Linked DNA regions of Cricetulus griseus. The protein of the gene in region 1 binds, or shares a complex with, the protein of each later gene. Links are inferred from orthologs where the notes say so. Each region holds a gene or a part of one and is shown in the gene's direction. Other genes may lie near its edges. The genes, in order: Coq7 and Coq4.

Evidence for each region.
Region 2: Coq7 (region 1) and Coq4 share a complex: the UniProt entries of both Homo sapiens proteins name them as parts of the multi-subunit COQ enzyme complex. The link is inferred for Cricetulus griseus from reciprocal best matches to the Homo sapiens genes COQ7 and COQ4.

What each region holds. Positions count from the first base shown.
Region 1 is NC_048596.1:82,083,087-82,086,896, forward strand, and holds part of Coq7 (5-demethoxyubiquinone hydroxylase, mitochondrial), read left to right. Parts: intron 1-1,038; coding exon 1,039-1,214; intron 1,215-2,709; coding exon 2,710-2,824; intron 2,825-3,810. UniProt on the Homo sapiens protein: Catalyzes the hydroxylation of the 5-methoxy-2-methyl-3-(all-trans-polyprenyl)benzoquinone at the C6 position and participates in the biosynthesis of ubiquinone.
Region 2 is NC_048599.1:141,441,894-141,446,478, forward strand, and holds the start of Coq4 (ubiquinone biosynthesis protein COQ4 homolog, mitochondrial), read left to right. Parts: upstream 1-1,714; 5' UTR 1,715-1,798; coding exon 1,799-1,868; intron 1,869-1,948; coding exon 1,949-2,080; intron 2,081-3,367; coding exon 3,368-3,464; intron 3,465-3,934; coding exon 3,935-4,037; intron 4,038-4,585. Other genes in the region: mitochondrial mRNA pseudouridine synthase TRUB2, read right to left, coding at 1,014-1,122. UniProt on the Homo sapiens protein: Lyase that catalyzes the C1-decarboxylation of 4-hydroxy-3-methoxy-5-(all-trans-decaprenyl)benzoic acid into 2-methoxy-6-(all-trans-decaprenyl)phenol during ubiquinone biosynthesis.

The sequences.
Region 1 (3,810 bases):
TGACCTCCAGCACCATAATAAAAGTACAACATTTAAAATTCTACTTGATAGCAGAGTTCATGTTCAGGACTCTGACTCATATATGACTGACTCACCCGTGGCCTTTTGTCTGAAGACCTCAGGCCTTCTTAATGGAAGAGCCCAAGATGTGTCCCAGATGAACCTTTTCACCTGCTTTCTAGACCTGGTAGTCATAGTGCACAAAGAGCCTGTGGCACTTTAAGTAATGCCAACTTAGGTGGCAGCTAGAGTGACAAGCCAGAGGACCTGTGGTTTCTATGGGACCTGTGAACATACCTTATATTTAAAGAGTTTAGTTTGTGAGGTCAAACCTAAGCTGTCAGGCTGGGTCTCAAGTCACCTGTCCATGAAACTGGAGTATTAAAAGAACTTCTAAGTCCCCACTTGGGCTGCCAGACTTTGCACCCTGAACTTTTTCAGACTACCAGCAAGGGCCTTCTTCCCAGGGAGACTGGGGAAGAGCATCATGACTTTGGATGTGCTCCATGAGTTTCTGCTGTACAGCTTGGGAGGGGAGAGCCTTTCCCAAAGCAGCTGTCTCGTGAGCTGCCTGGTGAGGACAGGCTTCGACCTTTCCAGGTGGCCATATGTGTAAAGTGAAGCCAGAAACCCCAGTTTTTAGGTGAAATCTTTTGGGTTTGAGCATTGCAGATGACAAAGAATGCATTGGTAGACATATCTAGCTTGTTTATGGTCTTGGTTCTAACATGTCTTTCATTCTGTTTGCAAAAGGAGACAGAAGATGGCTCAGTTCATAAAAGTGCTTGCTGCCAAGCATAAGAGCCTGATTATGCTTGTAAGCATTCTGTCCCTGGGCCCCACATGGAAGAGGGAGAGAACTGGTCCCTGCAAGTTGTCCTCTGACTGCCACGTGCACATCAACACACACACACACACACACACACACACACACACACACACACACACACACACACACGTAATTTTTTTTTAGAATAAAAAAGACCATCAATATTCTGTGTGGATAATGAAGGACTGTTACTTGCATTTTCATTGCAGCCTATGGAAGAGGCAATGTCAGGTTTCACAGTTCAGGAATGACCTTAGACAACATTAACCGGGCAACTGTGGATCGAATAATCCGGGTGGATCACGCTGGTGAATATGGAGCAAACCGCATTTATGCAGGGCAAATGGCTGTGCTGGGCCGGTCCAGTGTTGGCCCTGTCATTCAGGTGGGTTCTTCCCTAAGTCTCAACCTGGTCTATTGCACTGGCAATGTATCTGAAGCCTGTAGGAATCACTTGCCTGTCTGTTCTAAAGGGAGGTGCAGGGAAACAGAGTGCATATTCTGTTTATGTAAAAGCACAGATATAAATTGGATATGGCTGGGTGTGGTGCTTCATGCTTTTAGTCCCAGTACTTGGGAGGTAGAGGCAGCTAGCTCTCTGTGAGTTTGAGGCCAGCCTGGTCTACGTAGGAAGTCTCGGGTCAGAAAGAAAGAATGGATAGAAAGGAAATGTAAAAGAGAGAAAGAAATTGGGTGTGGAAATTGTGTTTGTGGTGTGAATGTTTTGTGGCATCAAAGGCTGAAAATCCCTTCACTGGGGGAATGTTCCATGTGCCAGGTTTTTGTAGGTTTGTCTTAGCACAGAGTGCCAGAGAGAGAGAGTTTTACAGACCCAAAGATCCAGGTTTCCTTTCCAGCTCTCACCTTCTGCCTCCTTGAAGAGGTCACATGACCTTTAGGTTTCCATTTTCCTATGTGCAAATTAGCCTGGTAAGACCTCTAACTCATTGGGTTTGGTTGGGGAATAAGCTCATATGGAACTATTGCCACCCTGCCTACCATGAGGTAGCTTAGCATGTTGTCCCATCAGATTCCCCACAGACATCCCTGTCCCCAGAGCTCATTCCAGGCATAAGATGGTGTACATCTGCAGATAGCCCCTGCACCTCTGCCTTGAAGCATGACAAGGCTACTGAGAGTCCCCCATGCCAAGAGAATACCACACATTTGGGGTTCTATTTCATAGTGAGAACAGTCTGTGTGTTCTTAGGACACAGTTCTTTTCCACTGTTTTCATCTGTGGTTGCTTGAACTGATGGCTCAGAACCTGCCTGGGTTCCAGAGGACTCACTGCAAGCTGGCTGTGCTATGAGCCTCAGGGATAATCCATCTGCCTTAATAAGGCATAGTGTGGATGGCAGGAGTAGCCTCCAAAGCCATGTTGATGGCATCTCACCATCAACTGTCTGTCTTACACTATCACTGACTGTCCTACCTTAGCTGCTCTTGTCCTTCTGTCCCCATCCTTTGTGTCAAGTCTAGAAGGAAATTACATCACATCTGACTTTTTGCCCTCCCAATTCTGAACTGGGTCAACATCTTGTACACAAATGTGAAGCTTGGTCACTGACGTGTGTGTGGGTCTGGAGGTGTGGCAGTGGAACTCTTAGCTATGTCTGAGATCTAGCTTCAGTTCTTCCTTTGCCTTGCAGGCTCTTTTCTTTTTTGAGAGATTTTTCTGTGCTTTGCCTTTGTCTTATGGATACATAAGGGATGGGTGACTCGAGTTCCCATCATTACACCATTTCCTTATTGCCTCCTGTGTGCTCAGCCGTACGTAGCAAGTCCTCAGGGTATATCAAGAGGCCCCTGTAATGCTTGCCTCTTTTTGTTTTGGGTTTCTGTTTTGTTTTTTAGTTTTTTTGATTTTCTTTTTCCAGAAAATGTGGGATCAAGAGAAGGACCATTTGAAAAAGTTCAACGAGCTGATGGTTGCGTTCAGGGTTCGACCTACAATTCTGATGCCCTTGTGGAATGTGGCAGGCTTTGCACTGGGTAAGTGTCTGTCCAGGAGCCACTTGGCTGTTGGTGACGGGTTGATTATTCATGCCTCTGTAACTCTTATCATGCCCTCATCCAACCTTTTTTATTTACTTAGTGTTTTCCTAAACTTAAATTGAAGCTGATTGAACTGTTTTTGCTTATATGACTAAGATAGATTCATCACTTTCATAAATAGAGAGTATGATACACACAGAGGGAAGCTAGATAATATAGTCATAGCCAGATGATGTCTCCTGGTGATGTTAACCTGAGAACAGCTTGAGTGCTGGGCATGGTCACTTACCCCTTTAATCCCAGCACTCAGGAGGCAGAGACAGGCAGATCTCTTGTGTTCAAGGCCAGCCTGGTCTACAGGGCAAGCACGTTCCAGGACAGCTTGGGCTACACAGACTGAGCCCCGACCCCAAAGGAAAAAAAAAAAAAAAGGAAGAACAAAGAACCTAGTTTAGCACTCTCAGCTCCTAGCAGAAGGGCCAAGGCTCATTGAGCCTGCCTGGTGGTGCATACCTGTAACCTCAGCACGCAGGTGGCAAAGGTAGGGGGTGGAGGTTACGAGCCAGCCCTGGATACACAGTAAGTTCCAGGTTAACTTGGGTTTCATAGTGAGGCCTTGTCTCAAAAAATCAAACCAACCAAATAAAACAGAAAAATACTTTCAAAAAGAACTTTGTGACTGGCATCTAATAACGAGCTCAAACTGCTTCTCAATATGGAGTGACTGTTGCAGAGCATTCATGGGAGTATCTAAATGTTCAATAGTTATGCTTAGCAGTTACCACTGACATCTAGAGGGTAGATATTGGGTGACATCCAATATTAAACATATTAAACATCCCCAGATGTGGGGCCATAGAAACCATGTGTGTTGAAATCCGAGGGCCTTGCTGAGCCAGTCTTGCCCTTTGCTGGCCTGGGGATAGCTCACCCTGCCCCTCTCTGGACACTGCATCAGGAGAGCTGGTCCTGACCCTCATGGG
Region 2 (4,585 bases), on another chromosome or scaffold:
GTTTGAGACCAACCTGGTCTACAGAGCAAGCTCCAGGGCAGCCATGGCTACATAGAGAAATCCTGTCTCAAGAAACAACAAAAAGGGGGGGTGGGGGGGGCCTGGGCATGGTGGCACACATCTTTAATCCCAGCACTCAGGAGACAAAGACAGTTGGATCTCTGAATTCGAGGCCAGCCTGGTCCATAGAGCAAGTTCCAGGACAGTCAGGGCTACACAGAGAAACCCTGTCTCGAGAAAACAAACAAACAATAAACACAAGAGTCCTTTAAGAAAGCCTGGGCTGGAACCATAGCTCAGTTGATGGGATGTTTGCACAACACGTAAGATGCCCCGGGTTCCAGCCCCAGCAGGTGGTACACTGGTGTAGTCTAAACCCTAGCAAGTGAAGGCTGAAGCAGCAAAAAGTTCAAGACTATCCTCAGCTTATATAGCAAATTTGAGCCTACATGTGAGTTGTTTAAAAAACAAAAGGGCCGCGCACGCCTTTAATCCCAGCACTCAGGAGGCAGAAGCAGGCGGATCCCTGTGAGTTCAAGAGCAGCCTGGTCTACAAGAGCTAGTTCCAGGACAGCCTCCAAAGCCACAGAGAAACCCTGTTTCGAAAAACCAAAAATAAATAAACAAATAAATAAATAACAAAAGGGGGAACAAAGAAAAAGTGGGGTTTGAAACTCGGTGTGGTGATGCATGCCTGTGAACACAGCATTTGCCAGGTGGAGACAGGAGCGTCAGAATTCTTAAATCCTTACTGACTTCAAGGTCGGATTAATTAATTACTCGAGATCCGGTCTCAAAAAGCCAAGAAAAATTTTCAAAGAGTAACCGTGCGAAAACAACAGTACGGAATGCGTTTCTCTAACAGAAAATAGCGGAGAGCGGGGAGTACCGAAATGTATACAACAGAAAACCAGGATGTGGCTGTAACCAAGCGAGGGTGTCACGTGACTTTGTTCTGCAGGAACTCCGGATGGAAGTAATGCAGAACTGTGGGTCCGCGTCCAAGCACTCGCCTTTCAGCAGCTGCAGCTCCACGGTCTCCCGCGCGTGCAGCCATTTCATGCCGGGAGGTTTATAGACCGCGAAGAGGCCCTGCAGGCGAGCCAGGCCCGAAGACCCCATGGCTGGAACTCAGCAGCACCGCATGATACAGGATCTGGGCTGCAAACGGAAGTGCCGCATGGTCCTGTCCCAAATGTGGTCCCTACTGTAAGTCGCTGCCATGTTTCCTCAGCCGGAAGAGGTTCTCATCTTATTGTCCTCCGGGGGGAAACATGCGGTGGAGAAGGAAATAGGGCCGAATGTTGAACAGCATAGTTCTCTATTATCTTCTTTCGGGAATTCCTTTCAGGAGTTTTTGTTTTTTGTTTTTTTTTTCTCATGTATCCCAGGCTGCTCTCGAGCTTGCTAGATTGCCGAAAGTTCCCGATTTTCCAGTCTCTCTTTCCCAAATGCTGGAGTGACAGGTGTAATTCACACCCGGCTTTGTTTTTGAGGCGGGGTCTCAAGTAGCCCCGGCTGGTTTCAAATGTACTAAATAGCAAGGACCTTGAGCTGATCCTCCGGCCTCCAGCTTGCAAGCGCTGGGTTGACAGGCATGCGCTATCGGTAACGCCTAGCTCACAGCGAAGTCTTACGACAGTGGCAGACAAATCCTGTCTTTCCTTCCCACGCCCGCGTCCATATCACATTTCCGATCAAAACGCCACAGCGGGTGCAGCCCGGTGGAGTCTTTTGACTTCTCCGGCCTCCGTCGTGCCAGCGGAGCCCCGCCCACCCACCGCGGACATCCGCTGCCATGGTGACCCTGCTGCTTCGCTCCCTGCGTCCCCACCGCAGTCTCCCGCTCCGTCTGCGGCTGGTTGTAGGTGAGCAGCTCTGACCCGGGCGTTCGCGGCGACTGAAGGAACCCGGCGCCTCTCACCAGTACCCCTTTCCTGCCCCACAGATGTACCCCTCAGGGCCGGGAGCCATGGCCCCCGCCTGCTGTACCCGGGCCACATCCCCACCACCTCGCTGCAAAAGATGTTGCTGGCCGCAGGCTCGGCGGGAATGGCACTCTACAACCCCTATCGCCACGGTAAAGCCGTTCGCTCCCCGCCCTCGAAAGCCGGGGCCGGCAATGACCTCTGTCAAAGCCTTGGTTTCCTGACCGGAGAGTCAGGCAGTCTCGGGCATCAAAACCTGGCTCCACCTATCTCATAGTCCCCAGGAACGTTTATGATAACCGGGTGCCTGGTTCTAGCCAAAGTCACTGTAGTGAATCTTTAGGGCAGAGGGAAAAGAGGTGACGGAAGTGTGGAATCTACAGGTCTTCATTTTTGCAATTCTAGGGAGACTCTGTCATCCATGCATATTAATCTCTGGACTGAATGGCTTGCAGGTACACACCACATTATAACATTCTCACTAGGTAGTAAACTTGGTAAGGTCAAGGACCGTGGTCTTAAGCATTTTCTTTGCTGAGTCGGTTCAAGACCAGCTTGAGCTATATAACCAGCCATTGTCAAAAAAAAAAAAAAAAAAAAAAAAAAAAAAAAAAAAAAGAAATGGGAGAGGAAGAAGACCTGTGGAGTTGTTTAGATAGGATCACATATAGAGTGACTGTACCTAGACTTAAAACTAGCAACAATTTTTCAAAATGGTTGTTTTGTTGAAATGAGGTCTCATGTAGACTAGGCTAGCCTGCAACTCACTACTTAGGTTAGGATGACTTTGAATTCCAGATTGTCCTGCCTCCTAACCCTGTGAATGCTGGAATTACAGGTATGTGCTGCCATACCCAGTTTATGTGGTGCTGGGACTCAGACTCAGGGCTTTGAGTGTGCTAAGCAAGCACTCCATCAGCTTAGTTACATCAGCTCTTCATCACCATTTAATACCAAATTTGGCCTGTACTAATAGTGGAAACATGATAATCTATTTTGATAATGGGATATGAAAATGATTCACACACTGTTTCTCAAAGCCTCCATCTTCTAGTAGATTAATGATATTAAGAATAGCCGGGCGGTGGTGGTTCACACCTTTAATCCCACCACTTGGGAGGCAGAGGCAGGCAGGTCTCTGTGAGTTTGAGACCAGCCTGGTCTACAAGAGCTAGTTCCAGGACAGCCTCCAAAGCCACAGAGAAACCCTGTCTTGAAAAAAACAAACAAACAAACAAACAAAAAATGATGTTAAGAGTAACAGCTAGCTGCCACGTGGTGGCACACACCTTTAACCTAGCACTTAGGAGGCAGAGGCAGGAAGATCGCTGAGTGATTGAGGCAAGTGAGTCCCAGGATAGCCTGTACTGAAAAGACTAACTGTCTCAAAAAAACAAAAAGATCCTATCCTCCATCTGTGCCCATTTCTGTCCTTTCAGACATGGTTGCAGTTCTAGGGGAGACCACAGGATACTGCACCCTGAAATTCCTCAGGGACCAGATGAAGAAGGATCCAGAGGGTGCCCAGATCCTCCAGTAGGTCCAAACTTTGCCTTGACATTTGGCAGGAGTCCCATGGGTGGATGCACTGCCTCAGCATTGCTCAGTACCAGGAGCACATGTGTGTATGTAGGCTAGATCCCCTGGCTTGTACAATATGTTGTCTTAGCCCAGTGTCAGCCTCAAGACTCCCCTTGCATTAAGCTCTCTGTGTTAGCTGTACCCCTCCAAATATCTCTCACTATCCCCTCCCTGCAATGTCACTTGTGAGTACCCTTATCACATCTGCGGCCCTTCTCCTCTGACTAGATCATGACTTTGAAGGCATCAGCTCAGCCCTGGTTTGTGATGGTCTCCACAGTCCCCAATACTACAGTGCTCCATTTGGTCTTGTGGCTATGTGGATGTCCTGTGTCCCTTTGCCCACCCCAGCTTCCTCTATGTGGCTCTTTCACTAGCCTTGGCTGACACACTTCCAGTCCGACCTCCTGCATTCTGTCTTTCAGAGAGCGTCCCCGGATCTCACTGTCTACTCTTGACCTAAGGAAGCTTCAGAGCCTGCCTGAAGGCTCTCTGGGCCGTGAGTATCTCCGCTTCCTGGATATGAATGTGAGTTTCCAGCCTCTGTACACCTAGCAGTTACCAACACGGGCAGAGGAGTGGCATGGGGATGATAGCTTAGGGCTTTTTCAGTCATTTTTCTATGGAATGAGCAGATGGACTGGGAATGTCATTCCAAATACTGGCACTAGCTGAAGGTTATTAACTTCCTGTTGCATGCCAGTTGCCAGGCTGGTACATGAGCTGGCTGGATCCTCCCAGTGACCCTGTCAAGTATGTTCTATTGTTATCCTCTTGCAAGAGATGAGGGCACAGGCACAGCACAGTGAAACAACTTGATAACTTCACAGCTAGTACCACTCAGAGCACTGTTCAACCCCAGAGTACTCTCTAAATCACTGCACTGTATCCCCCTGCTGCTCTAGAGTATAGCCAGTGTGGCACTCTCCAGCACCAGACAAGGCAAATGGTGGGAGGAAAGGGGGTTCCCAACTATTGAAGGACTTACCACTTGGCATCTGCCTCCATCATTCCATGCAAGCCAGGACCCTGTCCTCGTGGAACTTGTGCTATTATTAGAGAGGCCATTAATAAAG